Linked DNA regions of Oryzias latipes. The protein of the gene in region 4 purifies or fractionates together with the protein of the main gene of each other region. This does not show direct contact. Links are inferred from orthologs where the notes say so. Each region holds a gene or a part of one and is shown on either strand. Other genes may lie near its edges. The genes, in order: znf512b, dnmt1, parp1 and mta2.

The links.
Region 1: the proteins of mta2 (region 4) and znf512b purify together in Homo sapiens (affinity purification with mass spectrometry; 3 studies listed by BioGRID and IntAct, with this or other methods). This does not show direct contact. The link is inferred for Oryzias latipes from reciprocal best matches to the Homo sapiens genes MTA2 and ZNF512B.
Region 2: the proteins of mta2 (region 4) and dnmt1 purify together in Homo sapiens (affinity purification with western blotting; 3 studies listed by BioGRID and IntAct, with this or other methods). This does not show direct contact. The link is inferred for Oryzias latipes from reciprocal best matches to the Homo sapiens genes MTA2 and DNMT1.
Region 3: the proteins of mta2 (region 4) and parp1 purify together in Homo sapiens (affinity purification with mass spectrometry; 3 studies listed by BioGRID and IntAct, with this or other methods). This does not show direct contact. The link is inferred for Oryzias latipes from reciprocal best matches to the Homo sapiens genes MTA2 and PARP1.

What each region holds. Positions count from the first base shown.
Region 1 is NC_019865.2:15,571,386-15,579,249, reverse strand, and holds the end of znf512b (zinc finger protein 512B), read right to left. Parts: coding exon 7,806-7,864; intron 7,704-7,805; coding exon 7,380-7,703; intron 7,168-7,379; coding exon 7,066-7,167; intron 6,523-7,065; coding exon 6,460-6,522; intron 6,088-6,459; coding exon 5,989-6,087; intron 4,487-5,988; coding exon 4,151-4,486; 3' UTR 940-4,150; downstream 1-939. UniProt on the Homo sapiens protein: Involved in transcriptional regulation by repressing gene expression. Associates with the nucleosome remodeling and histone deacetylase (NuRD) complex, which promotes transcriptional repression by histone deacetylation and nucleosome remodeling.
Region 2 is NC_019866.2:8,445,497-8,453,360, reverse strand, and holds part of dnmt1 (DNA (cytosine-5)-methyltransferase 1), read right to left. Parts: intron 7,567-7,864; coding exon 7,530-7,566; intron 7,214-7,529; coding exon 7,106-7,213; intron 7,016-7,105; coding exon 6,808-7,015; intron 6,724-6,807; coding exon 6,651-6,723; intron 6,558-6,650; coding exon 6,476-6,557; intron 6,403-6,475; coding exon 6,362-6,402; intron 6,286-6,361; coding exon 6,231-6,285; intron 6,116-6,230; coding exon 6,032-6,115; intron 5,950-6,031; coding exon 5,840-5,949; intron 5,719-5,839; coding exon 5,600-5,718; intron 5,512-5,599; coding exon 5,419-5,511; intron 5,345-5,418; coding exon 5,193-5,344; intron 5,088-5,192; coding exon 4,900-5,087; intron 4,602-4,899; coding exon 4,587-4,601; intron 3,862-4,586; coding exon 3,681-3,861; intron 3,599-3,680; coding exon 3,501-3,598; intron 3,255-3,500; coding exon 3,110-3,254; intron 3,037-3,109; coding exon 2,921-3,036; intron 2,843-2,920; coding exon 2,641-2,842; intron 2,557-2,640; coding exon 2,423-2,556; and 18 more. UniProt on the Homo sapiens protein: Methylates CpG residues. Preferentially methylates hemimethylated DNA. Associates with DNA replication sites in S phase maintaining the methylation pattern in the newly synthesized strand, that is essential for epigenetic inheritance.
Region 3 is NC_019882.2:7,701,460-7,709,857, reverse strand, and holds the start of parp1 (poly [ADP-ribose] polymerase 1), read right to left. Parts: upstream 4,255-8,398; 5' UTR 4,145-4,254; coding exon 4,022-4,144; intron 2,529-4,021; coding exon 2,363-2,528; intron 2,201-2,362; coding exon 2,085-2,200; intron 2,015-2,084; coding exon 1,800-2,014; intron 1-1,799. Other genes in the region: adenylate cyclase type 8-like, read right to left, coding at 7,067-7,282, 7,426-7,628, 7,710-7,824, 7,901-7,993, 8,163-8,309. UniProt on the Homo sapiens protein: Poly-ADP-ribosyltransferase that mediates poly-ADP-ribosylation of proteins and plays a key role in DNA repair.
Region 4 is NC_019876.2:29,083,404-29,091,267, reverse strand, and holds part of mta2 (metastasis-associated protein MTA2), read right to left. Parts: intron 4,891-7,864; coding exon 4,823-4,890; intron 3,888-4,822; coding exon 3,794-3,887; intron 3,455-3,793; coding exon 3,337-3,454; intron 2,574-3,336; coding exon 2,510-2,573; intron 2,357-2,509; coding exon 2,239-2,356; intron 2,141-2,238; coding exon 2,038-2,140; intron 721-2,037; coding exon 621-720; intron 433-620; coding exon 244-432; intron 1-243. UniProt on the Homo sapiens protein: May function as a transcriptional coregulator. Acts as a component of the histone deacetylase NuRD complex which participates in the remodeling of chromatin.

The DNA.
Region 1 (7,864 bases), on a different chromosome or scaffold from region 4:
TCCCCTCCCCCTCCGCTTAAAAAAAGTTTACAGTAAAAACTGAATATTACTCATACAGGGTCCATTTAGCAAGCCACGTGCAGATCGGAACACTGGCTATTAATGTTTAGTAACAAGTTTGCAGAAATATTTTTGAATATTGAATGCTGAATATCTTAGTGCTGACACTATGCGAAAAAAATGTGAAATTTAAGGTAAATTTTGTTCGTACGTATGTAAATTATTTTGATGACATAATTGCTAGCTAATTACTGTAGTTACCAAGACAATATGCTACCGTGTCATGAACAGCCAATAAACCAGATTACACTTTGAAGAAATGAGGAAAAAGACTGTGGTTTGCTAGTTGGAAAACTGCAATCCCCTACTTGCTCAAGAATAAATAATAATAAAATAAATTACCACAACAACCAAAATTGAGTTTCAGATGAAAAAAAATTGCAATCTCAGCAGTAGAATCTTTTTGAAGTCTGACCCCCACACAGTTGTGTGTTCTTTTATTGCAGGCACTTTTGATATATTTCTCAAATGTTCTCATTTGATGTTGTTTATTTAAGTTCAGTATGCTTAAGTTCTACTTTACTATACATTTAAACTAATGCCATCCTTTCACACAAGATAACACTAGATCTTTTTTTATTTGTGTTTAAGTAATGATGAAACAAGTCATCAAATTGGAAATATTTCTTTGTGTCTCTAATCATTTCCTTTACTATACACTTACCATTAAGTTCATTTAGCACATATGTATCTTTGGCTTGTTATACTTCATGCAACGATTTGAAGTATGTTTACTGAAACAGACATTTTTGGTAAATTGACATGATTTACAGCTAATGTTCACACACTAAAAAACCTGCATTCAATACAGGATACCAAAAAAATCATGTTTTTTTTTAAATAAATAAATAATGTAAAAACAAATAATAAAGAGCCTCATTTAGTCAACAAACTTTTATTAATTAGTTGAGGAATAATAATGCACAGATAATACAACAAGTTTGGGAAAAATTTGTAACAGTTCAGACGCATAGGAGGATGTGATTCCTCAATGTTAGATACTGTACAGCTTGATATCAGATTTGGAATATCTTTATTACATAATTAGTCTCATTGTATCTTCTATGTATCATAAATAGTTTAGAGCTGCAATAACATCTCGTAAAACTCTCAAAGGTTTCACCACAATAGCTGGATGTCATCTCCTGCTTTTCAAGTAGGTAGCATACAAAACAAACCACTGTTATTTAAATAAAAGGTTAAAATTCTTAGGTTGTCTAAGGGGGTTGCTAAGGATTAAACCTTGGTTTTGGAAATAACATTGCTGACATTGGGAAGACATTTGAGCTTCCTGTTTCCCCAGGTACAAAAGTCACACCACACACAGTCCAGGTAACTAGAAAGCTCCAACGACACTCCTATTTCAAGCCTATTTCATGTTATAATAAGTGCACTAAATACAGAAACAAACACACATACATATGCCTTGTTGTCCAATATTCAATAGATATTGAGAAAAGAATCTGTGACCACCATCCTGAAATGAAAAAAAGCTCAATTTATGTGCATCACCAAAAATGGATCAAATAACAGTGTATGCCAACACATGGGCTTGCAAGGTTCTTTGAAATCTACAAACTTTTTCCCCCCAATATTTCTGTAGAATTTTAACTTGTAAAAAGCATTTTTCAAAGCAATAAAAGTTAAAGTAGGAGAGTAATAAAAAAAAGCCATACAGGTCTGAGAAGACACATCAATATCAAAATTGTAGCAAGCCAACAAAAACAGCTAAATATGGTGTATTGCTGTACTCTCTAAACATGTTGCAGTTAGTTCACACTGCGGAATAGGTATGCGTTCTCCACTTAATAGGAAGACAGATAGTAAAGGGAGTGATAAAATATAAAATACTCACTGTTAAAGCAGTGCTAAACTATCATATTGCAACACCAAAGCTTTTTAGGTAAACCAGGTTAATGTGACGCCATCGATGAGACAAGAAATAAGCAGCTAATGAAGTGATTCTGTGCTACAGCTTAACACTTAACAAGTGTCACCATTTTAACATTCACCCATTACAAAGGTGCTAACTGTCTGAGATACACACACATACTCACAAACGCACAGAAGGTTCCAACGACTCATTTTGAACAGGTCCACAGACCAATCAGTGCTCGTCTGAATGATGCTTCCTCAGCTGAAACTCCACAGAAGATAAAGGTCCATCCCTAAACAAGTGCACAGCCATTCCCGACTGGATGAACTCCATCCTCATATTAGGAAGAAAAAAAAATCATACTGGATCTCTGGTTTATGTTTTAAAAGTTTACAGCTTAGGAAGGACTCAAAATTACTTTTAAAACAAAATGTTTCTTCACTGTCTTCTGACTATCAGCTCCTTGTGGTTTTAGGAACACCTAAACAGTTCAGTTCTTCACTGTTTTCATGATGACATGACGTTTTGGTGCAAAATTCAGACAACTTGCAAACACGAAGAACATGGCAAAATGGATTGGTGGATGTGCGTGAGTTGTTTCAGGTCTTTAAGGTAGAAAGGCTAGTAAAGCACCTTTATATTTTCACCAGAATATCCCCACACCACAGTTTTTTTTATTTAAAGAGTCCAGATTTAAGTCTTATACTTAGTATTTTTGAATTGATACAAACAATAATATATTAAATTCTTATGGAATTTCTATTATAATTTCAACTACAAAATGAAGTAGTTTACCATTACCAAGTGAAAATATTCCACGTCATAAAATGTATTTAACTTTTTTCAATTTTTTTAAAGCAAATCTGAGGCTAATCTAACAGTTAGTGGCAGCACACTAACAACCAGTTATGGCTTTCTGATGTTGTAAATGTTACTGTCATCCTGGACTCAAAGTGTTAACTGTGCTGATTTTTTTTCCCCTAACTCCAGCTTTCATTGGAGTTAAAAAATATTCCCATTCCTGCACTTCAGTTGTATATTCTTGGAGTGCAAAAAGGCAAGCATGAAAGCTCGAGTGTTAAAGTGCAAGGCAATAACTTTGAGCTTCCAGGAACTCATGCATATGCATTACTTTCTGTGAATTTTAATCAGAAGTTTTTTTTCTTTTTCTTTAATAAAGATGTATTTTTCTCAAATGCTCTATAAAAGATATATATATATTTTAAAATCCTCTCTTCAGCTTAGATGTAAGCTAAAGCAGTTGCCAAAGCTTGGCCCTATTTAAAGTGGTGTCACATGATGTGATTGTGCTGCAATAGTCTTAGATAAGTTTCACACAAAGTTCTTCCCTTTGTCTAATATTTACCTTTCCTGGGCCAAATATAGACGGAGATTCTGTTTAAAATATTGCATTAAGCATAACTTAAAAAATGTATATATTTAAGAGTTTTGAATCGTTTTTTGGGGGGGATTCAGTTTGTTAGTTTCAATAAAAAAGATCTGAGGAAACAATCTGTAAGGCAGACAATCTTATTCGTCCTGTCAAAGTAGTTTTAAAGAGTGAACCGTGATTTAAAACTGGCCAACATGTTAACCCAAATAGATAAGCAGGTTAAAAGAAGAAACAAGGAACAAAATGTCACTTACGCCCATAAAAAACTTTAGACTGCAAACTGAATCTGCTCAACTTGAAAATGAAAAATGAATATTTGCTTTAAATATACACAAAGATATATTTACTGTTTATGTACACAGACAAGTCTATCTGTGACAACACTAGCTTTCGATAAATGGCTTCTTCATGCTGATAAAATTTCTATTTTTAAAAACCTCTCAAGCACAACATGTATCTCACAGAGAAAACTTGTGTCTTCTTTAATATAGAGAACTATGATTGTTAAAAATAACAAAACAAAAAACTAGCATGTTTAAGTTCTGGATTTGATTTGCGATTACCCCCCCTGCTGGGAAAACAAAAATAAAAACTGAAAGCCTTAGAAAGGAGACAATAGTGGAATGGAGGAAAAAACCTTTGTGAATATTGTTCATACCAGTGCAAACACGAAATCCGGAGTCTTGAATTAGAATTTAAGGACTAACATTTGTTTCTTTCTTATTGGTGGGTTTGAGTTTCTTCTTAAGCCCAGAGTTTCTGTGGAGTTCGAGAGGTTTCCCGTCATTTGCAATGTTTGAAGCTCCTCGCTGGCTCCAGAACTACTCAAAAAAGGGCCTTTTAGGTTTGCTTCGTCTGGGGGCTGAGGGGACAGGCTGTCTGTTGTGGCATGGGTAGTCACCGTCCGTACAGTTGGGAACCAAGGCGGAGGACTGTGCTGGTCCAGAGGGAGGGGCCACAGTTAGGACAGTATTCTGAGTAAGTGCTTCGATATCTGTTTGTGGAGGAGCGTCCACACTGGGGCGCTCTTTAGGTTTGCGCCCTCTCTTCTTACCAGTGGTGGCACCGTTCCTCACTTCAGCTCTGATCCCATTATTTTCCTCCACTTTGCTCTTGTTACCAGACACCACATGGTTGGCTGCAGTACGAAACCAGTTCTTAGAGGGAAGAGAAAGAATTCAATGCACGATGAGATCATTAAAATATTATAAAAACGTGTTTGAACACTCTTAAAAGGAAGACATTAATCAGAATAATATATTGAAAATGATGATGATGTAAATCCTACAGAAAAAAGTCACTCTAAAGATAATACATTTAAACCAGAAGCTTGTGTGTTGCATTATAAGTTAGCATTTCAAAGAAAAACTTTGTATAAAGGAAAAATTGTAGAATATGCGTTATCAATTATATTTGATCATTTTTTTTCAAAAAACTTGATTTTCATTCTTTATGTTTGGGTTTTCACAAGATAACTAGTTTAGGAAATGATGAACTAGTAAAGTTTACACCTTTTTCACAGCACTGTTTAGTAAAAAGCCAGCTGACAGCAGTGGCTTCCTCACACTTTTAGGTCAGAGCGTTCAGCCAATAGTGACATTTTTTCCAATTTGATTCTAGAAGAGCTACAGAACACTTCAGTACTTCTATTAGTATCTCACTCTGTGCTATATTATTAATAAATTTACTATTTGTACTGCTTTATCAACATTGTTAATGATACAAAAACCCCAGAATAACGACTTACTATAACAAATTGCTCAGAAATGAAATTACCCGTAGTAAAAACATTCATTCATTCATTTATTTATTTATAAAGCACCTTCCACCGCCAGCCAAGGAGACCCAAAGTGCTGTACACATGGAGAACAAAGCATAAAAGAATTAACAGCAAATTAAACAAGCAAATTAAAAACATAGTAGAGACATAAATAGAAAAGAATATAAAGCATAAAACCAATTTAAAAGAGATTAAAACTAGGACTAGGCTGATGCTAAAGCGCTAAAATGGAGGAACAATTGCCTTGGAGAGTTTGGAACTATGGAATCATTCCATAGTTTAGGAGGCAACCCAGCAAATGCTCGGTTCCCCCAAAACTTGCATTTGGTTCTGGGAACCATTAACACAAACTGGTCGGTGGAACATAAGGACTTTAGGGGGGAATATTTTAAAAGCAGACTGGAGAGGTAAGATGGTGCCGTACCTGCCAGGGACTTAAAAGTAAGGAGCAACATTTTAACAAAAAGCAAGTATTGCAATGGCAGCGTTGTGGTGTTATGTGGTCTAACTTCTTTGACCCACAAATAAATAAATACATGAATGAATAAATGAAGAACATATGTTTTGTGCTTTTTTTTTATTCAATTACATAATCTGTTACTTCTTTTTTAAATAAACACTATAAAGTTAGACACAAACACAACTGAGTATGCTTTTTCCGATAGATGACATTAAGATGATCTCACTTAAGCTGTGTTTAAAGCATGTCCAACCAAACCCTTTCAATCACTTTCAATAAAAACAAAAGCAACCATTTCAATGCAGACGTGTTCACTCAGCAAAGGATGATGGAAAAATAGTTTGTGTAATGGAAGACATCGGTGCCTGTTTTATGGCTATGAGGTTTCCACTAATGGGGGGGGGGGGGGGGGGACCCACCTGTGAGTGTGTTTTACTTATGTGGTACTTGACACCACTCTCTGAGCTAAACTCCTTCTGACAGATCAGACAGGTGTACTTGCCCATCTCACCGGCACCCTGGAAAACACCAAAAGTATGGAGGTGTTCTGACATCTGCTCATATTCCTCTCAAATTCAATAAGGAAAATACACATGACTGAAAGATAGCTAAAAAAACATTTTTTAAAGAATTTTTCCTTTTTTATGTTTTTATCTATTAAAACTTGCAAAATAGAGATACATTAAAAATAGAGTTGCTATTTGTAGAGGCTTAAATATAATTGCTAAAATGACAGCAGCATACAAAATCCAAACCTAGAAAAAAACTTCAGGCTTAAAAATATACATGTCAGTGGCAAACTGTTTGTGCGCAGATTGTGAATGATACAAAGTGTCACCATGGAAATCTGTAAGCTGGCTGATAGATTTGCTGTAGTTGTGGGCGTGTACCTGGCTGCAGTTGGCAAGGTGAGCCTTCAACCCGGACACACTGGAATAAACTGCTTCACAGTTCTGAGACAGGTGACATAAACAAGAGGAAATCAACTCAAGTCTGCATTTCTATAGGAGCCCTAGCGTTTACGAACATGTAGTGCTTGTTAAAATGTACAGTGTGGGCATGTGTATAAATATTGTGCATATTCTACTCAAAAACTATAAACTGTAAGTAGCAACCTAATGGGGATAGAATGATAACTGGACAGGGGTGGGATTATATAAGGTTTCTTCTGCCCACCCCCTTTCAAGCTGAAACGGAGAGAAAGTTTTTAATACTTAAAGTATACTCAATTTTCTTAGTCAGTATGATTGTAATGAAAATGCTGTTTTGAAGTTCATATAATCTGCATATCTTTATTTAGTCTTTTTTTGTTTGGAAATGAATGTATTTTTTATTCTGTTGTTTCTGCTTCAAATAAATCCATATCTGAATCTTGATCCAAATATTATTCTAAATCTAAATCTAAATCTAAATCTAAATCCAAATCTAAATCTTACTTCAAATCTTAATCTAAATCTAAATCTAAACCTAAATCTAAATCATGAAGATGCTCTCACGGCATTTGAGCAGCAGATGAAGCCTTTTTCCTTGACTTGGTTCTTCCAGGACTCTAGAAGTTCTGGGCTGAAGCTGGGCAGACCGGGTCGAGTGTAGTTTAGCTGTAAAAAGAAGAAGATTCTGTTAGCACCACATGACTACAAGGTTTTTCTAAAGATGCTTTTTTTTAGAGACAATGTTCACATTTATATAATTTCCCTGTTGTTGGATCAAGAAAGTTGTATTCTATTCTATTCTGAACTGTTTATTGGGTATGTCTTTTTGCCTTCAGTCGTTACATTTAGGAATTGTGAACCACCAACTCCATGCTTACCCTCTTGCTGTCAGGCACCAGGTCATCCTTAATGCGGCGCTTTGTGCCCCAGTCTTTCGCCAGCTCGTCCTCTGCTATCTCCTGCAGGTGGAACACTGCTACCTGTGCTGACCGCCGCCTTACTCTTCCACTAGGAGTCCTTTCAAAGTCTTCTTCCTGGATCAGAGTTTGTGCTGCTTTTTCTTTGCTCTGCTCCTTCTCCTTTACCTTTACTTGCTCCTTCTCCTTGGGCTGGAGAAGTGGGGTTTTTTCCTGCCTGTCCTTCCTCTCCGCCTCGCTTGGTTCCCTTTTTCTTACTGCTGCTGGAAAATCCTCTGACAACACCTGAAGAGACAACAAGAAATATCAGAATGGCACGACACTTCAATGAGTAGTCAACTGTAATAGAATTTAGGAAACACTGGTTCCTTGCTGAGATGATCTCACCCTGTCCTTGCCGTTACTGTTGTTGGTGTCAGTCAGGCTGTCCTTCCTGTCATTGGTGG
Region 2 (7,864 bases), on a different chromosome or scaffold from region 4:
CCCCGTTACCTCTGATGTTAAAAACAAAAATAATCCCAGAAGTGTTAGACATATTTTTCTTTCATCTGAAGTCAGTGAAGCAGACAGCTTCACTGTTTTATTTTATAGGGTTTTCTTTACCGGGTAACATTACTGACGTATCTCTTTTCATCCACCACCACGCTCAGAGAGCAGGCTCTGGGCGCAAACACGTGCAGCGGTTCAGGGTAGCGAGGCAGCTTCTCTCCTGGAGCAGCAGCCAGGATGATAGCTCTGCGGCGTGTTTGGGCAACGCCATACTGACCCGCCTGAGGAGCAGAACAAACGTCACCTCAGGGACTCGTGCTTAGGTGCAGTATAAGAGCTTCACACATGCAGAAGACCCGTAGGAACAGTCTAGGCCGCAGTCTGAAGGTCAGTCTCACCTGAAGAACACCAAAGGTACACTGGTAGCCCATCCGCACAAGGCAGCGCAGAGTCAGCTTCAGAACCATGGAGTTCTTGAAGGAAACAAAGTTCCTCACATTCTCCAGCAAGAAGAACTTGGGTCTGTAGTAATCACAGTAACTAGGGGGGGGGGGGGGGGGGGGGGGCAAATAAAATCATTTTAACAGTCAGTTCAACTGTAAAACAGCAACAACATCCTGACAAGAAATACCTCAGATAGGAAACCACAAGCGAGTTCTTGAACTTGGAGTAAGTGCGAGAGTTGAAGCGATTCATTCCACTGAAGCCTTGACATGGAGGCCCCCCACAAAGCATCTCCACGTCTCCCTTCTGCGGCAGCTTCTGACCCAGAGAATTGGTCTTCTCCCCGGACATGACCAGCTTCAGCAGGACGTTGCAGTCCTCTGTGAAGACTGTGGTGCCGGGGTTGTTGAGCCTGAAGGCCTGAGCTGCCGGCTCCCACATCTCGATGGCCCACAGTGACTCCGAGATGCCTGAAAGCAGCAGATTGAGTCTGAGCAATGCACTGCAAAATAAACAACTGTGTGTTTTATTCCACACATGAAGTCCTCCATTTTCCAAAAGATTCACTGCTTACTTAAATACAAAGCTAATTTTTTGCATAATTGATCAGAAAACGAAAAAAAAAGACATTCCAGACCCCCAAACATTCTGACATGGATTTATTACCGGCTTGATGGAAACCCTCGGACAGGCCCCCACAGCCAGAGAAAACATCAAGGGTGCGATATTTTGGAACTTTAGGCATCTGTGGGCCAACGTTGGAGTCCTGCTGTTCCTGTGAAGCCTTCCCTTTGCCTTTTCCTGATGGGATAGAGACCAGGTTTCAGTGATCTCAGAGGTGATTCATTTCTACATGTCAGAGTTCAAACCAACCTTTTCCTTTGCCCTTTCCTTTTCCTTTATGAACTGCAGACCGGGCGTGATTTGGAGGATCCTCAAAGCTTTTAGACCTTGCATTGTAGGCCTGTGAGGGAAACAAACATTAAACATTGGTTCCATTTTCACCTGCGTACACAATCATACAACCAGTCACCTATAAAGAAGCTGAACAGCAAGTTCTTGAATTATGGTACAAAAAGTAATCCTAACGGTACCTCCAGAAAATAGAAGCGGTCTGGTCCACCGCTGGAATAGTCTTGGACCGATTCAATCAGGTCTTCTGCATATTCTATTTGACAGCGGCCCAGAACTTCAGACATGCGGACAGTCACTTCTTCATCACTCCAGTAGAGCTGGTTAATGTCAGCATGGTAACTCGCTTTAACACCTTTGTGAGTGTTTTCTGGTCTGGGGGGTGAGGAAAAACAAAAAAAACAGTAGTTTATTTCTTTAATACATATATCTATATAAAAAAAATTTCAGTAACAGATTTTCAATTCCTTTTCCTACCTGTAGAACTTGTAAAGTGTCAGTTTGACGTCTGCAGTGTCAGATTTTCCGTTGCTACGGCGATGACAGAAGATCTCCTTGATGCGGCCGACACGGAAAGGCTCCGGAGCATCCAGGTTTGACCCTTTGATGTAGTCTGAGGACTTCCGGTAGTACTCGGGATACAGATCTTCATCCACGTCCTCCTTCCTGTGGGAGCGCTTCACTGGGCTAGCAGGCTTCATACTAAACGCAGAAAATATAAGGTGGAAAACAATAATCCAATTTAATTTTGTGCCCTGTACATAAGAAAACCATTTGAAATACACAACACTCACTTGAAACTGAAGGAGTCAGGAGGCAGGTAAACTCCATCTCCAATTTTAAACTGCTCGCCTTTGAAGCAAGCCAGCGCATACAGAACCTTTGTGTCGCCGCTTTCATTCTCTAGAGGTTCGAGTGCTTGAGGCACTTCCTGCTCTGCTCTCTCTTTAATGCGAGCACAGCTGCCACAGAACCTGAAGGTAAAAGAAAAGAAGAGGAAGAGTCAAGTTTAGCCATCGCATCAAAGAAAGAACATCACAAACATCAGAACATCAGTCACCTGTACTTGCAGTCCTCTGGTTCTGAAGTCTTGGGAGGAGTCTCAAATCGGGCAAACTCTGTGTCATACCAAAACTGGTAGAAAAAACTCTTCCCATCATCCTCAACCACCTTGAGGTCAACATCCATTCCACCCTAAAACGTTAAACGTCACATGTGAACGTTTCTGAAAATGACAGCATGAATCTGGAAACTTTTGATCAGCTTTGATCCACTGACCTCCATGAACCAGTTGTTGGAGGGAGCTTTGTACATAACGTTCACTTTTTCATGGACATAACTGAGCAGCATGTCCTCGCATTCATCCACGACGACGAGCTCCAGTGGATCAGAGGATTCTCCGAGCGCTGTGTGAATCCCTCGAAGGAACCAGTGAGCATGGAAGGTCTTCCCGTGGGAACCCTCCCACATTGAAGTGATCCTGAGAGACAATACACGAACGGAGGTTACTCCTCTGTAAAACAAAACATCACCAAAGTACACCTTTTCTTTCTTGTACCTGGCCAGATACAGAGGAACGGATGGATCATCAGATAAAACCGAAACGCAGTCTCCCACTTCCAAAACCTCATCATTGACGGACACTTTCTTGTAGTAGTGTTTCTTCCCCTCCGACTAAAGCCAAACAGATCATTGTCAGTTACATTTGTGGCTTAAGTAAATCAATCAAAAAAACTAAAAGACATACCAGTATAGGCTCTCCGATCCATGCAAGCTTGCACTGAGTTTGTTTCTTCTTCTTGGTGTTGGCGTCCTTCTTTGCCTTTTCTACCAAAACATCTTCCTCAACAATCTCATCATCTTCAGCCTCTTTTACAGCAAGATTAGGGCATCTAAACAGCATGAAAAGAAGGCCATCAGAGAGTTTAATAGATCGGATTTCTCTGTCGCAACCACAACAAAAGTATGAAGAGTTGAAGCAGAAGAGACACGAGGATTTCTGTAAAAAAAAATATTTATCCTGCAGCAATGATTGTAGCGGCATATACGGCAAAGTTAAACTGAACCAGAACTTTTTTCCCATCAAAACGTTTGTGATGACTTGGACTTCCCACAAAGAGATCCTCAGACATCCTCACCTTCTCTGTTTACAGGCTTGCTTGCTTCGACCGCTTCCTCCAAACTTGATCATATCTTTGCAGGCGGTACATTTGCCGCAATCAGGAGACTGGCAAACCTAAAAAGATTCCAGTTTGTTAGATTTGGAGTTGTAACTTCACAAAAAACAAACAAACCAAAGAACACAATAACCAACTCACTTCACAAACGCCACAACGCTGCCTTTTGAGCGCACTCTCTTTATCGTTCTGCTCTATCTGGTCAGAGAAGAAGGCATCGAAGATCTGGTAGACCAGTTTAGTGGTTGTTGCCTTCGTCGGTCCTTTGCTGTCCTTCTCGATCTTCGTCGGGTGACGGATGGCTTGTCTTCTGGCAGCTCTCCTATCAACAAAACAGAGTCAGCGTTTAGAGGAGAGGCGGGTTTTGGAGCAGCACAAACACAGGATCGTATGGTGAGGGATGGAACTAAGAAGCTCCTGGCCGTAAACACACCACAGCATCAGGCCATGCAGCAGTACAAGCAAACAAAACTTAACCTTTGACCTTTGGAGAACTATGGAAAAAAACTTTAAAGATGAAATATTAACACTTAAACAGGATTTTTTTTCTTTGAAACTCTTTACCTCGGAAAATTTGTCAGAGAAATAAATCTAGTGATAATTCACGGCTTTTAAAATTTTGAAAGTATAAAACGTGAAATAATTTTATTTTGGAAAGACTTTTTTTTAAAAATTACTCTATTACCTTGAAAATAAAGCCAACTCTAGGCCTATTAATTTACCTCAAAACACAAATAAACATAAAAGATAAAAAAAGAAAGGAAGTTCTTAAGAAACATTTTCTTCAAGTTTCATGATAGTTTCATTTTTTTTTACATTTCTGACCTTTGACTTAAAATAATTTTGTTTCATCCCAAACTATTCCAACAAAACTTTACAAAAGCAAATCACACTGAAAGACCACAATATAAATCAAAATAACTGAAAATGAAAATAGTTTAAAAACCATGTATGTGTCTCAGTGTGAACTCTGTTCACTTTCTAAATGTTTGACAGAAAAACACCACATAGCAGAATAAAGATGCAATCACAGCAAGAACCACCTACCAGTACAGCAGCGTGCTGCATTAGGAAGTGTTAAAAACATGTTAGACATCAGGGAGACAAAGACTGACGTGCAGAAAATTAAAAAATAAAATTTAAAAAGGGTTCAATCTAAATACAATTAAGTGTTTTTAAGGATACATGGTCATAATCCCAAACTGTTCTACTTTATTATACAATAGTCGGGCAATTAAGTATCCCACCAAAAGGAGAGACCCTTTTTTCTTTTTAACTTTGAGGTGATGTCACTTAATTATGAACTTAAAAATTCTTAAATATAAATTTATTTACAAGCGTCTGAATGTATTAACTGTACCTTTTCCCCAGAGTGACTCCTGCGAGTTTGATGAGGTCTCTCATGCAGGGAGTGACGATGATGGGCTGCTCATCCGAGTCGCCAGCCTCGTCGTAGCTCTCCACCTGTTCCACCACAAACTGGGCGTGGCGCAGCAGAGTGTCTTCAGTGAAACAGTTGAAGTTTAGTCCTGCAGGAGGAACTGTTGTCTGAAAGTAGAAAAAGAAGATAGTCTGTCAAGATTCACATTTGATAAGGGGGGGGGGGGGGGGGGGGGGGTGTTAAAAAGAAAAACTTTAACTGAAAAACACCACCTCAATTTTGTTGAGGAGGTCTTCATAAGTAACATCTGGGTTTTTCTGGAGGAATTCTACCACTATCTTGCTCATATAGATCTTTTCCTGCATCAGTGCGAAAATGGGGGCATACTCCTCGCTGGGCTGCATCAAGATGTAATCCGCAAACGCTGCACAGAGAGAGTTGACATTAGTCTGAGAAACACTGGAAATTAAACTTTAGACGTGAAAACAACTGCGTTACCTGTTGTGAAACCAATTAGAGCCTTTTCTCCTCCATCAAACCCAGTGATCCACCAGGCGTTGATCGGCCCAAGCTTCTTTGCAGGAACTCCACCTGATTTTGCATCAAAAGAAGATGGATAAAGCAACAATAGAAACAAAATAAAATCTTTTATCAGTGCTTGAACTGAAGCATTTCTTACCATCCAAGCAAGGATTGTCATCGTAGATGGGTTTAACGGCACAGCTGAAGTAAAGCTCCACGTTCTTCTCAATCAGTCCGGAGTCAAACGGACACAGATGACCGCGTTTATCATACACGCTGAAAGGTAAAATATGCCATTATTCATGAAAAAATTAACAATAAAGCTAAGAAAAGGAGAATGTGGTGCAAACATTGTAAATATCTCTGGCGTCATTGTAACACTTAAACAACTGCAAACCTGAAATTTGTGATTCTGTGCTGTGGCAGATCATCGTAGCTCTCAAACCCATCCTCGTTTGAGTCAAAGAGGGAGAGACGCTCATCTGTTAACATCTCAGGTTCATCAAGCTGAAAAAGGGAAAGAAACCCATAAGGCAAAATAAAAATGTGTGTGCACCCACTATATATTAAATGGGTAGGAAATTCTCACAGCATTATCAGGATCTCCTTGAAAGAACTTCAGATCTGAGTCATCCAAAAACTGTCGGCAATCTTGACATTTGGGAGGTGGGGTCTAGAAAGACAACAAAAAAATGTATAAAAAAAAATGTATAAATAGTTTGTGTGTTTGGAATCACAGATGTTGGAAAAACAAAAGACATAAAAGAGCAGTTCTATCGATTAAATACCTTTGCAGCAGATACTGGCTTGGTTGTGTCATTCTTACAATCTTCTGCAGCAGAACTACAGCAGGAGAAGCGTAAATCAGTTTATCCGACATCAAAAAGTCAACACAAAAAGATCAGGAAAAATGAGTTACTTTTCATCAGATTCCACTTTGAGGCGCTTCTTCTCTTGAGACTACAATGCAAAACAATAAAACACTCAATTATATTAGACAATGAAGGCCACAAAGATGCCTCTTAATATGCACCTCTTCGACATCCTCCTCTTTCTTCACTTCATCTTTTCCATTGACACTTTCTTCACTCATTTCCTCAGACTTGCGCTTTTGACTGCAAAACAAATGTAATATTTATACATTACCACTTTTTTTGAATAAATGGAGCTTCCAATTATGCATATATACATATAAAACTTATACGCACACTTTGGAGAACATTGACAAGATAGTTGGCTGTTTCCCACTATTCCTGGTGACTCTTGCACTTGCTGGAGACTCTAGAAGTGGATGATTTTATATTTTAACACACTGATTTTTTAAAACCCATGACTGCATAATTAAAAAAAAAAAAAAAGGCCTACTTTTTGAATCACCATTGGACTTGCTCCTGCGTCCAGCCTTCCCTTTGGAAGGAGGCGGTGATTTGACATCATCTGTGCCCATGGCTTCTTCATCCTGCTCATCTTCATGAGAGCCGTTTGAGAAGCCATTTGTTTTTCCAACTTCCAAGTCATTCTCCAGATGAAGTTCCTTTCCCAATAAGGCCTTTACTTTTGATATGTATACCTCCTAAAAATGAAAAACAAACAAGAAATCAGCAAGCAGCCAACCAACAGAGGTAATTATTAAATTATGTTGCCATAATGGGATGTATCAAACCTTCGAGATCTCAGAACTTTTCATTTCTTTTTCAAGACTGGTCAACTGGGTTTGAGTATCATCATGCAGAAAGTCCTGCACCAACTTTAGCTTCTCTTTGACTTGATCCTAAAAAATATATATATTTTGTTTGTTTTCCAGATAAAAATATAAATCTTAAAACACACACAAACTACCATGACAGTTAAAAAAATATTTTTTTTAATAGGTAGCTACATCTTACATTCAAAAGAAGAAAGTATGCAGTAGCAAGATAACAGGGCAGCTTTTTTTTTTAAAGAAAAAAAAGCCATATTTGTATCCATGGTCTCATAATAAAATATGTTGGAAGCCTGGGCTCTAAATGAAACCATCTTTGCATGCATATTCAAAGTTGTCAAAGCAGAACACCCACATTGGGATTAACTACACTAAGAGCTTTTACCTCCTCTGAAGATCCGTCCTCCTCCAGCATCTGCAGTCTGTAAACAAATGGCATGTATTTGAACCGGAAATTGCAAGTTACAGGGCGCCAATCTTACAGAGCTACACATATTGTCTGTGATACCAAGATAATGATAAAAAAAAGCGTGGGTATCAGGACTTCCCAACTGGCGCCAAATGTCATGTCGTTCCATCACTGTGATGCTAACGTTGCTAGCGGGCTAGTAGAAGGGAAAACTACTTCAAACCTCCCTAATTGGTCGAATGGCATATGCTACAGCTAGCTGCAGCTGCTAGTACAAACCAAGGGTAACGTGCTCGTTAAGCCGAGCCCGC
Region 3 (8,398 bases), on a different chromosome or scaffold from region 4:
TGTGGGACGTGAACCTACTTCAGCTTCATCAGGAAGTTAAGAGTCTCGTCTGTGTGAATGAGTCAGGTGTTTTGCCTAAATAAGAAGTTACCTCCCAGGTTGCTGCCCTAAACCAGTCCATTCGTTTTTCGACCAAGCCAAACAAGATGATGAGAAAACATCCCATTAGGAACCCAAATAAGGCGCACAGGGATGAAGGTGACGGCCATGATGAGGAACAAACAAGCCTGCGTGTGACACCTTTCTTCATGGAGTAGACTCGTGAGGGTCTCTGCAGCAAACGGACACAAACAAGCAAGCTGGTACACGTCTGAACGCTCCCAGGGGCCGGGGGCCAGAGCAGCTCCTGTGACACCTCCATACCATAAATGACCATCTGGAGGACAAAGCATCAAGACAACGGCTGACATGAAGTAAAGGACAGAGGGGTGTCTGGTTTTCTGGGTGGGGGGGGTTGATGATGAATCCTTGATAGGTCTGTGGAGCAGATTGGTGAGACGTTTGGATGTTAACATGAATTTTACATCTGAAATTTGCTCTTTTGCAGGAGAGCTATGGAGAATGAAACTGTGCCACTTATTGTTTTCCAACAAACCAGCAACTCCTGGCTTCAGTTCTTTTTTCAGTATCCCCGCAACTTCACCAACCGGCTCTCCGCCACCACCTCCTCCCCTTCTGCGCCACCAGCTGACCCGGTGATGCACCCAAATGTGCCATACATGGTGGCCGAGCTCGTGATCGCCTTGTGCTCCACCTTGGGGAACCTCCTGGTCTGTGCTGCTGTGGGTCTCAACCGTAAGCTTCGCACCGTCACCAACTACTTCTTGGTCTCGCTGGCGGTAGCAGACATCTGTGTGGGAACCATTGCCATTCCCTGTGCCATCCTGACCGACGTCGGTCTACCGCGCTACAACTTCTACCTGTGTCTGCTAATGCTCAGCGTGCTGATAATGTTCACCCAGAGCTCCATCTTCAGCCTGCTGGCAGTGGCTGTGGAGCGTTATGTCGCCATCTTCATGCCGCTGCGTTACGGCGTCCTGATGACGCCTCGGAACGCCCTGATGGTGATCCTCGGCACGTGGCTGCTGGCCTCCCTCATCGGCTTGGTCCCCCTGATGGGCTGGCACAAGAGACCGCCAGATTCCAGCTACTGCTTCTTCGTCCTGGTGGTGGACATGACCTACATGGTCTACTTCAACTTCTTCGCTTGCGTGCTCGCACCTCTGCTCATCATGTTCCTCATCTACGCCCAGATCTTCCTCACGGTGAAGCAGCAGATGAGGCGCATCGCGACTGAGAAAGGTGAAGGATGGGAGCGACAGGGCAGGACGGCAGCCACCATGCGCAAGGAGATGAAGATGGCCACGTCGCTCTTCCTCGTTCTTTTTCTCTTCACAATCTGCTGGATTCCGCTCCATGTGATCAACTGCTTCCTCCTGCTTTGCCCAAAGTGCCCCGTTCCGCTGGAGCTGCTGCTCACCACCATCATCCTGTCCCACGCCAACTCTGCTGTGAACCCCTTCCTGTATGCATACACCATGACGGCTTTCAGGGACGCCTTTAAGGCCATTTTTCTGTGCTGCAGGTCGATGGGAGAGGCAGAGATTTTAAGTGGAAACAACAGAGGAGATGAGAGAACTTCTAGACCAAACCAAGTCTGTGAGAGCTGAGTCAAAGCTCTTAGTCAAACTTTTATATATATATATATATATATATATATATATATATATATATATATATATATATATATATATATATATATATATATATATATATATATAGTTTTTGTTACTCCTCACCCCTCAGTTTTTACAGCAGGAAGCCTCTTCTTCAGCTCCTCCTTGTCTTCTGCCCGCAGCACATTGAATCCCTTCAGCTGAGCAGCGCTGTAATCAGGTTTGAAAGCCAGCTCCTCTCTGCGGCTCACAAAACATGCAGTGTGGTACCAGCGGTCGATCAGGCCCAGCTGAGGCTTCTCTGCATCCACCACTTTCTTAGACACACGAATCTGATCCTGGAGGAGAGGTCAGAGGTCACAGGCGTGCTTTCCGTTAATGAACTGTTTAAACGAAGCTGCAGCAAACCTTTTCTATTTTCTGCTGACATCCTTTGCACGTGCTGCGGTTTGATTTGGCGTACTCCACCGCAAAGTCGTTCAGCGTCTTTTCTCCTTTAGCCGCACCACCAGAGTTTCCCTTTCCTGCAAGATGGAGACCTCAATTTACCCCGCTGTGCTTTAAGTCAGAATTTTCAACAACCTACAAAAAGTAAACAAAAGCGACTTTCCGATGACTAACATTCACCACGCTGATAAACGTCAATTCATTTCCCGTGTGCACAAACAGCTCAGACAAGCACAGACCTGTTCCGGCCACTCCACCACTTTCTATGGCTTTTTTGACAGCTTCCTGGTCCGCCCAGCGGAGATCCGAAAACCCGCCGACATCGGCCGTGGACTGCACCGAGGCTCGCTGCCAGAAGCAGGAGAAGTGATGCCAGTGAGGGACCTTCCCGTCGAACATGGGGGACTGCGGGACACAGAGTAAACATAGGCGTGAACACATTCAGCTGCAGAGTTATAGTTTTCAGTCTGTCTGTATCTGCCGGGTTTGGATGATTCTGGAAAAAAATGATGGGTTTGCTGCTCATATCAGATCATCTGAAAGCTCCAGTGTAGTTTGGTGGTGAATTGAACAAGATAGTTGAAAAGTTGAACAAAGAACAGACAAAAAACATTTTTATGAGACGAGTAAAGGATGTAAAATAATTTAGCAATACCGTAATATTTTTTGAAGGTGAAATGGGAGGAAAAAACTAACCCTTTGAAAAAAATAATTGTACTATTGTCGCCATGTCCTGCTCCTTTTAAAAATGACTTTTCTCAATTTTTCTGTACAGTTTAAGAAAAATAAGAGGCTTTTCAAATTATCTTTAACATTTTAGCTGTAGTGACTCGCCAAAACAAAAGCGCAATTTTGTTTTTATTTAAATCATAAAAAATACCTTCAAATAAAAACTTGAACATCTTTCTAATTCCACAAACAAATACAAACTGTAATAAAAGTTTTGTTTATATATGTGTTTAATTATTATTTTTACATTTTATTCCTTACGTTTAGATTTAAATTGCTCGCCTTAAATTAAACATTTTAACTGTTTATTTAATAATATCAATAACCATCAATTGATCAGTCTGAAGGATGGGAAATTTACAAATATAAATCTGAATACAAATGATTTAAATATATATATATATATATATATATATATATATTTTTTTTTTTTTAAAGTTTAGTTGGTGCCAATTTTTACTCTGTGCTTTTGATATAAAATTTTTGACAATAAAAGCAATCAGTCTAGATATGATCTATTTTTTTTTTATAAATACCTGTGATTGATATTTACATTTTTCATCCTAATTTTTAAATTTGCATTAGAAATTAGTTTTATACAATTTACTGGATTATAGATAATAATTTTTTTACCTGCATATTAATTTACTTGAATGTCAACGTATTTTTCCAAAAATATAAATTCTACTTGCATTAATTGCTTGTAGAATAATAATTAATTATGCAAAGTTTAGTATTTCAAATCCATCTGCTGAAACGGAAGCCTGTGGTAGACAAAATACTAAATGAATAAATAAAAGGAAAAAGCGAATGAAGTAAAGAAAGTAGTGAGCGGTACACGTTCCCCCGAAAGACAAGCGATAGAATCACCAAGACTGAGTCAGACTGAGAGGCAGCAGTGATTTTTCCTCACATTTCTGCTTGAATGCCGGAAAGTGCATTTATTTGGAGCATCTCTGCGGCTCTTTGTGCGGAAGATTTAGCAGCCATAAATGCTAACGAGGGCCCAAACCAGTCCAGACGAAACCGGAACTACTCAGGCCTATATATCACATTTTCAAAAACACACTTTTATTTTTTTTTTACATCTGCTGAAGCTGCTTGGTAAACAAGTGAGTCTGTAGGAATAATTCCGCTCCCGGGTGTTTCCTTGGACCGCCGCTGCTTACCTGCACCACGATGGCCATCCTCAGCGAGTCCTTCGCGATTTTCTCCTTGCATTTCTTGCACGAAGCCTGGCCGCTTTTGGCGTACTCTGCTCGGAACAGCTTGTCATTCTGGGAGTCGGCCATAGCTTCCCTTTATCCTTAAAAAGCTGAACCGAAGACGACAAAGTTTCTCCACCAGAGCACGAGGAGCAACAACAGGGACAACGCGAAGAGCAGCGAGCAAGATCCAGTAAAGAGGGCTTACTCTGACTCTTTTTTGTCAAACCTCCGATACAAGCGTTAGTTGCCAATGGACGCTGAACCTGGGCGCATGTCCACAAATATCTGATAGATGCGGGCATATTTATCCAGATAGCTACAGAAATCACAGCTAACCGAACCTAAGAAACGGGGTTACATACTTCCATTCCTTCAGCATATCTTTCAAAACATCTTTGCATGCAGAGCCTGTAGAATGGAAGTTTATGTTTTTTGTTGTTGTTATGAAAATCATATTTATTGTTTAAGTTATCCATACTCACAAGCTCTTATTTAGAAATTTAGAAAACAGCCGGCTTCTGATATTCCTTGGACATCATTAAAAGAAAATGACAATTGGCTTTTCTGCAGGAAGCTTCTTTTCTTTCTGCTTTCATTTACTTACTACCATTCTACCTTTTCTTTCGTTTTCTTTTATCTATCTACCTATCTATCTACCTATCTATCTATCTATCTATCTATCTATCTATCTATCTATCTATCTATCTATCTATCTATCTATCTATCTATCTATCTATCTATCTATCTATCTATCTATCTATCTATCTATCTATCTATCTATCTATCTATCTATCTATCTATCTATCTATCTATCTATCTATCTATCTATCTATCTATCTATCTATCTATCTATCTATCTATCTATCTATCTATCTATCCATCCATCCATCCATCCATCCATCCATCCATCCATCCATATCTATATATCTAATTTTCAGAAAGTAAATAGTTTAAAGTAAATTAGACAAAAAAGTAAGACGTACAAGAAGAAATATGATTTTGTGAAGATCTCTTGGTATGTAAATCACTTTTTTCATTGAAAAAAATCAGATGGACAACATAATTATTATCCTATAACTGTTGGAATAAACTGTCAATCGTGGAAATAAATCAAATATTACATTTTTTGTGTGCATGTATACTTCTACTTTTTGTTACAAGTTTTTCTTCATAATGCAACTTCTTCTGTATGTTTATGTTTTTAAGTCTGACCTTAATAAGAAGAGCTAGGCTATTGTTTTCGTATTATTATCCTTAGATGTTTTTTAGAACAATGGTAATTTTTTTGTTCAGTTTTGTCGATTGGAAGAATTAAAGAAAGAACTTAAGATTTGATCAACTGAAATATATTTATTTATAAATTTATTTAAAAAAACAAAAACGAAATATTATTATTTATGTATATTTATTTGTCCTCTTGGTCATTCCTCAGGAGCCACTCAACCGCATAAACAACACTCCTCTAAAATATGTTCAACAAAAAGTATTCAAACTTGAAATGTTTCATAAAAAAATGTCAAGCGATCCATTTTTCACAATAGACGATATTTGGATACCTCACAGAGTACCCGCGCTCGCTTCAGTCTAAAACAATCGAATGAAGAGAAGTCGATCCTTGCAGTCTGAAAAGAAAGTAAATCCTTCACTTTCAAAATTATAGGTTTCCATTCCATGTAATGGGTACGTTTAACCAATAAAACTTAAATTGTATGACTAGTGTGATAAAAGTAGAATGCAATAAGTATTAAATCGTTTTTTAAATTATTTTAAGTATCAAAAACAGACAGAAAATGTGTTTATTTGATGGACGGCAATCATACAATTAAACATTTCTGTAAAAAATGTATAAAAGCATGGTATACATGTAAAATGAACAGCACATGATGTCTAAAACACCAACACGGTTGCATTTATAGAGTTCGTATGGAAGATACAGACAAAAACCAACTCATGTGTGATGAAATAGAACAGGGGTCTGCAACCTGTGGCTCCAGAGCCACATGCTGCTCTTTTATCCCTTCATTGTGGTTCTTTTGCTTTGAAGAAAAATGCTAACATTTTGAAGAAATAATAGGGTTGTTGGTCATTTATTTTTAGATTTTTAAACTGAGGTGAACTTAGATGAGAAAAATGTACGTTTTAACCACTACGTTATACTAAATCAAGAGCCCTTGACACGTTCACTCCATAATGCAAACATGTCAAATACAAGCAATTAAATAGTAAAAGATCTGATTTATGTCAGAGTGGTTTCTTTTTAGAATAAGTTCAAACTCACATTCTTTTCTTAAGCCTAGTTGTCTTTCAGAGACAAATGTATTAAAGTATAATCGCTGCAGCAGGGTCTTATTTGACACAGGATACATTTTATTTTGAAAGGAACTTGTCTGTGCAATGGTAATATAACACTGTTATAATTCAATAATTGTAAATGTTTCAAAGCTACATTTTATGAATAAATAAACAAATGACTTAATGACCGCAAAAATATAAATTTAGAACATTTTTCTAAACAGTAGAGTGTGACTTTGCAGCTCTTGCTGGGTTTATGGCTGTTAGAAACTGTAACAAATGGCTCTTTGAGCGCTAAAGGTTGCAGAACCCTGAACTATAGAGTGTGATTTAGCTGTTTTTTAGAGGTATTCTAGTTTTTGGCTCAAATGTTTGATATACCTTGCAATACAAGATATGAAAAAAGACATGTTGGCTTTTGTTTTACTGTAAAAATGGCAACAAGAAAGCTAGAAAAAGCAGAGATCCCCCTAATATTTGCTGTACTTCACAAGAAGTCAGTGGAAGAGAAAGGCCCATTCTAGGAAACGTTCCATTTCCAATCTCCTCTTGGTAAGTTTAGAAATAGACTTTTCCAACATGTTCTTCTCCTAACTCGTTGGGTTGATGGACAAAACCTGGAATAAACTCTGCAAGATCCTTGGAGGATTTGATCCACCCTGTAAACATGCAGGAACAGCCCTGCCTGGATGAGTCCTCTCCTCTGCGTGCCTCTCAACACTTCAGTTTGCAGGAAATCAGACCAAAGTTACTGTTGGTTTCTCTTATTTTCTCCTTTTGTCGGGCTTGGACCAGCCCAAATACGACCTCGGCTAGTGTCAGGCGTCCTGATGGGCGCCCCCCAAGCCTGCTGTACTTCCCAGCATTGCCCTGCTTACTGCGCGTGGTGCTGATGAAGTATGTACGCACTTTTCCCTGGCACTCACTTACCTGCATTAAACAAAAAATCTTTTTAGGTTACTCCTTCAATTTAAAATGAATAAAAATTAAACATTTTCCTTTTAATAAAGCTTTCCTTACGTTATCTGCAAAGTTACCACAGACTATATGGACTAGGCTCAGCCCCCACTCACCCCCTTGATAAATATTTCTCCTCGTAGCTCCAGGGCAAAGCCCCACTCTGACAGGACTTTTCGGGTGGCTTCAGGCACCTGGATTCGTCCACTCACTCCTGTGGTGTCCATACGACTCGCCAGGTTCACTGTCATCCCCCAGATGTCATACTGCGGTTTGGTGGCTCCGATCACCCCCGCAACTACTGGCCCATGAGCAATTCCTTAAAAGAGTCCATCATGAAATCTTGGTCACTGGTCTCAGATTCTCCTCACTGTTTACTACAATAATGAAATCGACTCACCGACACGCAGCTTAAAACTCTGAGCAGAGAGCCGGTTGGTCTCCTTCAAGGTCTCCTGCATCGCCAACGCAAACAAAACCAGCTCGCTCAGGTGATTCCACTTATCCATGGATGCCTGGAAAACATAAATCCAGACGAGTGAGTTTCCCTAAAGAAATTCAACTGAAATGACTCTGAAACTGACCTCCCACCTGTTTATTTGGAGCTAAACCAGAGGCTGCCATATAGCAACTTCCAATGGTTTTGATCTTCTCTACGCAGTGGAAATACGACTCCTCCAACAACTAGAAAAGATTCAATTTCAGACAGCTGCTTCTAATATAACTGGGCAAACTACTTCTGTTGGTAGAAAAGGATGAACTTTTCACTTTAGTAGCGTTCAAACTCAGAACCAGCTGGTATTTTTCTCTGATGAACTACTAACGGTTGTTAGAACAATTGAAGTTTGCTCACCTCATCAAAGCCAGCAATGATCTCATTGAGCAGTCGCAGGCAGTCCACTCCTTCATGTTTAATCTCTTTCTGCTCAAAGTACTCATTGAAGCCGGCGACCGAGGCAAACATGACACCCACTTCATCATAAGACTGGGAGTAAAGCTCCTGAAATGACCATTGTTACACGCAGTTTCACCTGCTCATATGAGATAACACAGACCTGAGGAAAATCAAACATTTCTGCGCAATAACCC
Region 4 (7,864 bases):
GGCCTCCCATTGATGTTGTTTTTTCATGTCCCCCAGCCGGGACCTGAACCGGAGGCCTTCTTGCTGTGAGACAAGAGCGCTAACCACTGCTCCACCGTGCAGCCTGCTGTTAGTGTTTCTTTAAAATCACAGCCAAACGTTTAAGGCTTTAGTTTTATCCATTGATCTATTGCAGATCATTCTTAGCTTATCTTAGTTTCCACTATACGTCTTTATGGTGACAAAGAGAAGAAAAACGCTCACAAAGTCTTGGCGGATGTCGTTGAAGTCTTTGCCGTATTTCTCCAGAGCCTCTTCAAACAGCATGGCCTCAGAGGCGCTCCATTCCTCCATCTCATCACGACACAGAACCGGGCCGCCCTGGGGCACCAGCGTGGACATGGCCTTGGCCAGGTCGTAGTTGTTCTTCTGCAGTGTATCCATGGCATGAAACTACGACAGAGAATGTAGAGAATCAGTTTTACAACGTTTTACTGCAAACTAAATGGAGAGAAAGGACCAGAAAACACAAAGAGTTTCTGAATCTCTACACTTCATGAGCAGCGAGTCAAAAGAGGATCTGTGACGATGCGGCTCAAATTTGCAGCGGAGGACGGAGCAGCGGCGTCACATCCACTCACCAGTGTGATGTCTCTGGAAGCTGCAGCCGCGCTCATGTGGAGGCTGGGCTGACGGATTGAACTGCTACAGTCCAGAGCTCGAGCAAAAGTCCCAACAGCCCTGACAGGAGGAGGTCAAAAACACACGGCGGTAAGTTCTGGATACAAAACACAACTAAGAAAAGCAGGGCTTTCTGGATTCATCACACTTTATTCACTGCTTCCTCAACCAAACACGTACATTAAAATTCTTTTGCACGTGGTACTCGGATACTTTGTCAGTTTGAAGCTTCAGGTTTTCTAGTTGTGTTGATGCTTTATCATGAGTTTAAAGCCTACCACAACTTAAAGATCCTTTTTTTACTCAGGTCTGTTTGTGGCCGATGATAAATATATATATTTTTTTACATTTCTGGTAGGCCTCCACAATAAATCCCATATTTATCGTTATTGCAAGATCAAGCTGTGCAATACGCATATCGCAAAAGATGGCGAAAATTGCAATAAATGGTTATCCTAAATGTGCTAAAACCATCTTATGGCAGCTGGAAGGATTTAACGACTCAAATAAATCCATTTATGCATTTGACCAATCAGATGGAGCCTTTTAATGCAGGATGTTCGCCTCCTATGGAGACGAGGGTCAAATGGAAATTGTGTTTTGGTGGTTTTGGTGTTTGTTCATGTATTCCAAGTTATCGCAATATTGTTACTAATATGGTGAGTTTTCCTCATATTGTGCAGCCCTAGTTTATGGCATCATTAATGGCCTGTTTTCCAATAATGGTTTAGAAATTATTCTTTTCTAGCTTCACAAGAGTTGTGTAAGAGAAACACAAACAATGAAAAAGTATCATGAACATGTGCACAGTCATTAAGTACTGATTATAAGTTATGAAGCTTTTTAAGGAGAAATACTGACATAATATGAGGTTCAAAAGTCTTAAGATAAGGAAATGACAAGACTTACTTTGAACCTCTTCATTATAAAAGCTAAATACAACTGTTTGCTTTTAAACTTAGTCATCCTGTTTTTGAATTAGCTAATATGTGGAGGAAACCTCTCCAAATATAAAAAAAGACATTAAGTCAAACTATGCAGAGCATCACAAAACAACACCTAGTTTTTTAATTTAACCAATCTGCTTCAGAATGACAGTCAGCCACCAAAACGTATCTGTTATCATGAATGACATGGTGTACATAATACTCCTGGTCATGGCCTTTCTAATGTCTTGGATGTGTACAGTGGTGACATTTCTGTCTTATCACAGTTGCAAACTCTCAGTTCAGACTCATAGAACGAAACAAATAAAAGATAAACCAAAGAATGCAATTAGCAACAACTAAAATGGTAGCAGTTTCTGTGTTTTCTCTAACAAAGACATAGAAGAGTTTTATAAATACTGGTGTCCCTGTGAGTCAAATGGTTCATTACCTGGCAACTACCAAGAACTGGTCAATCTGTGGGTCTTTGAGCTGGTTGTCGGGGTCCCACACCTTAGTCTCTAGCTTCTCCTGGACTCGGCTATCCGTTTCATCTGAAATGAAGAACAGCCGTATTGAATTCTGAGAGTCGTGTTTACTGAAAATGTGCTGACTAGAGTCAACAGTCGTGAGGTTTTGGTGGCCTGCTAACCTTCAGCTAGCATGTCGGGAATCTCTGCCTGGTATTTGGAGCCTACACGAATTTCCCCCTGGTCTGCCAACAGCGTCTTCTGTACTGGGTCAAACACCAACGAGTAGAAGAAGCAGTCCTGGACACAAGACATCGGCACATCAGCTGAAAGGATTCGGGTTCGTCTCACACATGCAGCCTGTCTATGCTCTCCGTCAAATGGGCCGAGGCTCCATTGATTGGAGACTAAACATATAATGAATGAGATCATGACAATCACACAGGTTCTTACTTCTTTCTCCAAGTAACCAGCCAGGACATCAGTTTCATTGAGAAGCGTCACGTTACATTTTCCTCTAAAGAGACAGTAAATAAATACACAAATATTAGAACTGATAGGAAAACGGAAGAAATAGAAAACGGTTCATTTCCAAGAATAACAACATTTTCCAAGTGGATTCTTTCTGTGCTCCACAGTCAACAAATGAAGAAAGTTAATTCTAGTGAAGATACCGGTAACTGCATTCCAGGCTTGGTCGCACATCCTCTTTAATACTTACGGCTGAATTTACTGACAGATAAAGCAAAAACTTTAAAATGTGCAAATTTTTAAAAAATCTTTGAAAGAAAAACCTGCCACTAAAACCACAAGATCAGTATTAAAAATACAAAATGTTCAAATATGTCCTGAGTTTTGATTGGAAAATCATCAAACAGCGTTTCACTTATTTACAATTAAACTGACTTCATGTCATCTGAATGTTAAAGCAAAATAATGATTATAATATAATTAGTCTAGTTTTTTTTGGATTCTCAAATCAAATGAAAAGATCACAACACAAGTAACTGACAGACTGTTGTTAACGCTACACTAGAAAAATAGTTTACCTCTATAGTAAACCGTTGTCTCTACTCGCTTGACAAATACAATAAACATTAAACACAGCAATGAAATAGAAAAAAAAAACTGAAAATACTAAATATGACTGCATTATACTCCTTTATAGCAACGTAAATTATAGCCATTTATCTACACACAAAACTCTGCACAAGTGTGCACACACACACACACACACACACACACACACTTCATCAAGAGTTCTGGTATCAAGCATGCACCGTATGTGAGTGGCAGGTAGGGATTCAAACTGTCGGGACAGGAAGAGTTCCCTGTGTTTGAGCTGGTGCTTCTGCTGTTCCGCCAGGCTGGGCTGGTTGGACTCTTCCTCAAACTCTCCTGTAAAAACAAACACATCTGCCTTAGACAGCTCTGTACGGCTCGCTGCATGCATGCCTGGTGTTTCCGGCTGGTGCTGGAGGTGGAGAAGCATCTGGTGTCCTGTTGGTAGGACACTTGGCCCACCGTAGCTACTGATGAGATGGAAACGTAGATTGTTCTAAAGCCCTAAAGTTGCTATAAGTATACTAAAATATCAAACAGCAACGATCCACATCGGCTTCAGGAACACATGTAAAGTTGTGTCTGATATTAGTGCGACTTTCCCCAACACCGTTTTAAACCTGGAACATTTTCAAAGGGCATGCAGCTTGTTTTGCTGGAACCATCGGTACTCACTTGCATTACTGTCAGCCAGAGTATTGAGGTTGCCTGAGATGTCTCGTCTTCTGAACAGACACACCACTTTTGCTTCAACGTTCCCATTGGCCGTCTGTATGTAAGGAATAAAACAATTTAGGTCTGATCCATCATGAAGTACCAGATCCTTGGTGCAAAAAACAAAACAAACATAGGAACTTATCCAGTTATCATATGATCTTGTACCCAAGAACACAAATGTTGAGTTTTCTTTGTGTTTGATACTTTTCACACAAGCACAAGTCCAAAGACTCACACTTGGGCTCACTTTAAACCTTATGGGAGCATTCTCTCTGCGTTCTGATTCTGACATCACACATATAAACACAATCAGAATGTTTATACTGTTTTTACACTAAAGTTTTTACACCTAATGTTAAATCCAACCAGATAAAATGCAAGATGTCCTATCGCACACATGCATGCATGTGTGTAGGCCAGTTTTTATACAACACATTTCCACCACACCCCCTTAAGCCAAACTCTTTCGTAACTATTGTGACTTTTGTCAAAATGTGTAAGAACAGCAAAGTGGAAAGCAAAAAACAAAACACAGAATGAATGATGGATCGTTTGGAAGAGCAAGAAAGAGAAAACATCCATGTCACACACCAACAGAAAAAGATGGTGGTCGCCTCATATCACACCTCTTCAGCAACGTTCAATGACTAGAAACCTGACATGATTTCAGCAGAACTATTCCTGAGCTCTCTTGAAAAGAAACAAATACTAAACCTGGAATAAAAAAAGACGGTTTTCAGAAGACACTCAGACGCTTCATATAATGATATAATACATTTTATAGGTCTGCCGCCTTTCTTGTTCGAACCCGTACAAAAAACCATAGTGACAAATTTGAAGTAGCAAGCTGATATTGCACCAAACACGTAGGTTTAGACCTGATCATGTTGGCACTTGGCAGTATCATGAAGAAGCTTTCAAACACAACGATAATGTTTAAAAGAACAGAGAATCACGTTTAGAATGCGGTTTGAGAAGCGTACTAACCTTATTGAGTTCTTCTATTCTCCGAATCAGATAAGGGTTACTGGAGGAGTTCTCAAAGTACACATAGTCTGAAACAGGAAACAAAACTTATAACAAACTTGCACCAAAGTTTTTAAAAACAGTACAGTAAATAGCACAAATATATATATATATATAGGCAGAAAATCAAAACGAACATTTACATTGTAATATTTAGAGAAGGAAACCTGTGGAAGCAGGAATGAGTTAACGTTGAAAAAAAATGTAATGAGTAAAACTACTATTAAAACTGAGTAAAATGAGTAGAGTTCATGCCTTTTACATTTAATTAACTGAAAATATTTACATTGATGGTAAATTCAAATTGAGGTAGTAGTAAAGGCCCAAAGCGCTTTACAGTCACAGACCCATTCACCCATTCACACACAACATTCACACACTGGTGTCCAGAACACAGGCGCCCGCCTACCACCAGAGGCAAGGGGGGGTTCAGCGTCTTGCCCAAGGACACATCGACTCATGGGCGTGCAAGGCGGGAATCGACCCCCCTACCGCTGCACCACGGCTGCCGTATTGTACCGTATTGCTCATTAATTGTACTATATGCTGCAAAAATAGTTTCATCCCACCACATCTACATCTATGTTATGCCAGAAACCAAGCAAATGTGTGCTTAGATTTGCTATCCAGAGTAGAATTAACATAAACAGAAAATGTGGTTTTATGACCAACTGGTGTCTATATATTTGATCCTTGAGAACCAATCACTTTATTTTTAGAGCCCCTTTCATCAACACGAGTAGAACCTATGGTTCTTGAAATAAAAGGTATATGTAAACATAAAAAGTCATAAAGCACCATAAACAAAAAACAACAAAAGAAAGATGAATATTAAATGGTAGAAAAACAGTGATTAATAAATCTGATATGAAGTTTTGCTTTGTATTTCATTGTAGATGAAAAATCCTATAAAATACATCTTTATGTAGGTTTTACTAATCAAAAGCATAGATACACTAAAGGATCTGTGAAGTAGGTGTTTTTGGCCAATTTTACAAGTTTGAATATAAACGTGAGTTTTTGTTTTTAACAACAGCAACATTTTAAACATGAACCTCAGCTGCTGTCAGCGTAGCTGTACATACAGCCCATGTTCCAAATCTGATGAAGCAAAACAACGACGTCCAAACATAAAAACTGTCAGAAAGAAGTCGTTACCCTTCAAAGCGTACTTTGGTCCAACTCAGTTTGTAAAAACAAAAAAACAAAAGCATTAAAAAATGAGGAGGAAGAATGAGTAAAAAAGAAACGTTGAGAACAGTTAACCACAGAAGACGTGTTTTTGTTGCATCCGAGTCAGCGATTAGCGTTACGGCCTAATCCAGTTTGGGCTTTGTTCTAACTAGCTGGCATACGGGTACATTATTAATGAGCTGGGGGTAAGTGTGACAGAAAGAGCTTTCCTTACACAAATATATTGTCTTTTAATCATATGCAGGCCTTATATACATTTAATGTTGTGTGAGATTGGACTTTTATACATGGGAACCAATGAGAAACTGCTTCCTTTTGGACTCCAATAGCTTTTTGAGGAACTACAAGATTTGGTACTTCGTAGTTTGAGGCAAATTTGGAAACAGACGGCAAATTTAGAAGTTGTGTAGGACTCAAAGGAGTTTAATTTCTCTCAATTCTTTAGCTACAATATCATCTAGTTATTTTAGAATAGAGAAAGGATCAATGTATTGCTTTTTATGAACTCCCGTGCTCTTGTAGCTTCTGATTGGTTTGAAATTCCCAATGCAGATAACCAAAGACAAAGATGTCTGCTAAACAAGGCCGGGGTCTCTAGTCCAGATAACAAAGCAGTTTCACTCCAAACAAAAGGTTCTTTATTTGTTTTATTTGCTGACTAAAGTGGGACACTGCAGAGACACAACTGGATGTGCATATTTTGTTTCCAATTGTTGAAATAAACAGTTTTTATTCCACTTCATCTCAAAATTAAAGTCAGGATTAGAACAGGGGCAACTCTCTGGTAATATTATTGCATTTGAACAAACTGGCTGCCTACTTAAATATACAGAATCCCTTTAGTTCTCATAAGAAGCATATCCAGATGTTTTATTATTACAGTGCTGTATTTCAGATTAAATTAATAAGCTATTATCATTTTTCACGTGTTTCTAAAGTTTATTTAAAATAAAGAAATTGTGATTGTATTTTGGCCAACATTGGCTTATGAACGTAATTTCATAACAATTGTAAAGTTGGCATCTGTTTTTTTTAAAGGTTTATGTTTCCCTTAACTTAACTAAGGGAAAAGATAAGGGAATTGTCCTACATTCAATCTATTGTAAAAAGAAGGTTTGAAACTTTTTGTAGATGTTTTACCAAAGATTCAATAAAACTTTTTTTTGTGAAAATTCATTAAAGGTTAATTTTACTGTTTCTTTCCTTCCATAAAAATGCACATTTTCCATCTGGATTCTCTGTGTCTTAAGGTATTAGGAATCAAAATGTATTACCCTGTATCCTTGAACCAGAAGTCAATAGGTGCCCCAATAATCCAGTTCTTTGAATGGGGGGGGGGGGGGGGTTACAATCTGTTGTTGATAAGTCTCAGTATGTTCATTGGATGTTGTGTCTGCCTGTGTTATGCTGATTGGTGGATTTCCTCTATGACACACCTGCGTCCTACAACACTGAGACAACACAATCCAGGCACAGATTATCCTCCAGAGCTGCCTGGTGGAGCAGTGGTTAGCGCCCTCGACTCACACAGAGAGATCCCCGTTTTAACTCCCGGCTGTGTCCTCCATGCATGTTCTCCTCATGCATGGGTGGGCTTTCTCCGGGGTCTCCGGCTTCCTCCCACTGTCCAAAAACATGCTTCATGTGTTAATTGGTTTCCAAATTGCCCCTAGGTGTGTGTGAGAGATTGCATGGCGACCTGTTTAGGGTGGACCCCGCATTCGCACAACACTAGCTGGGTTGGCTCCAGCAACCCCGTGACCCCAAAAGGGATATAGCAGTTTGAGAATATGGATGGATTCTCATTGA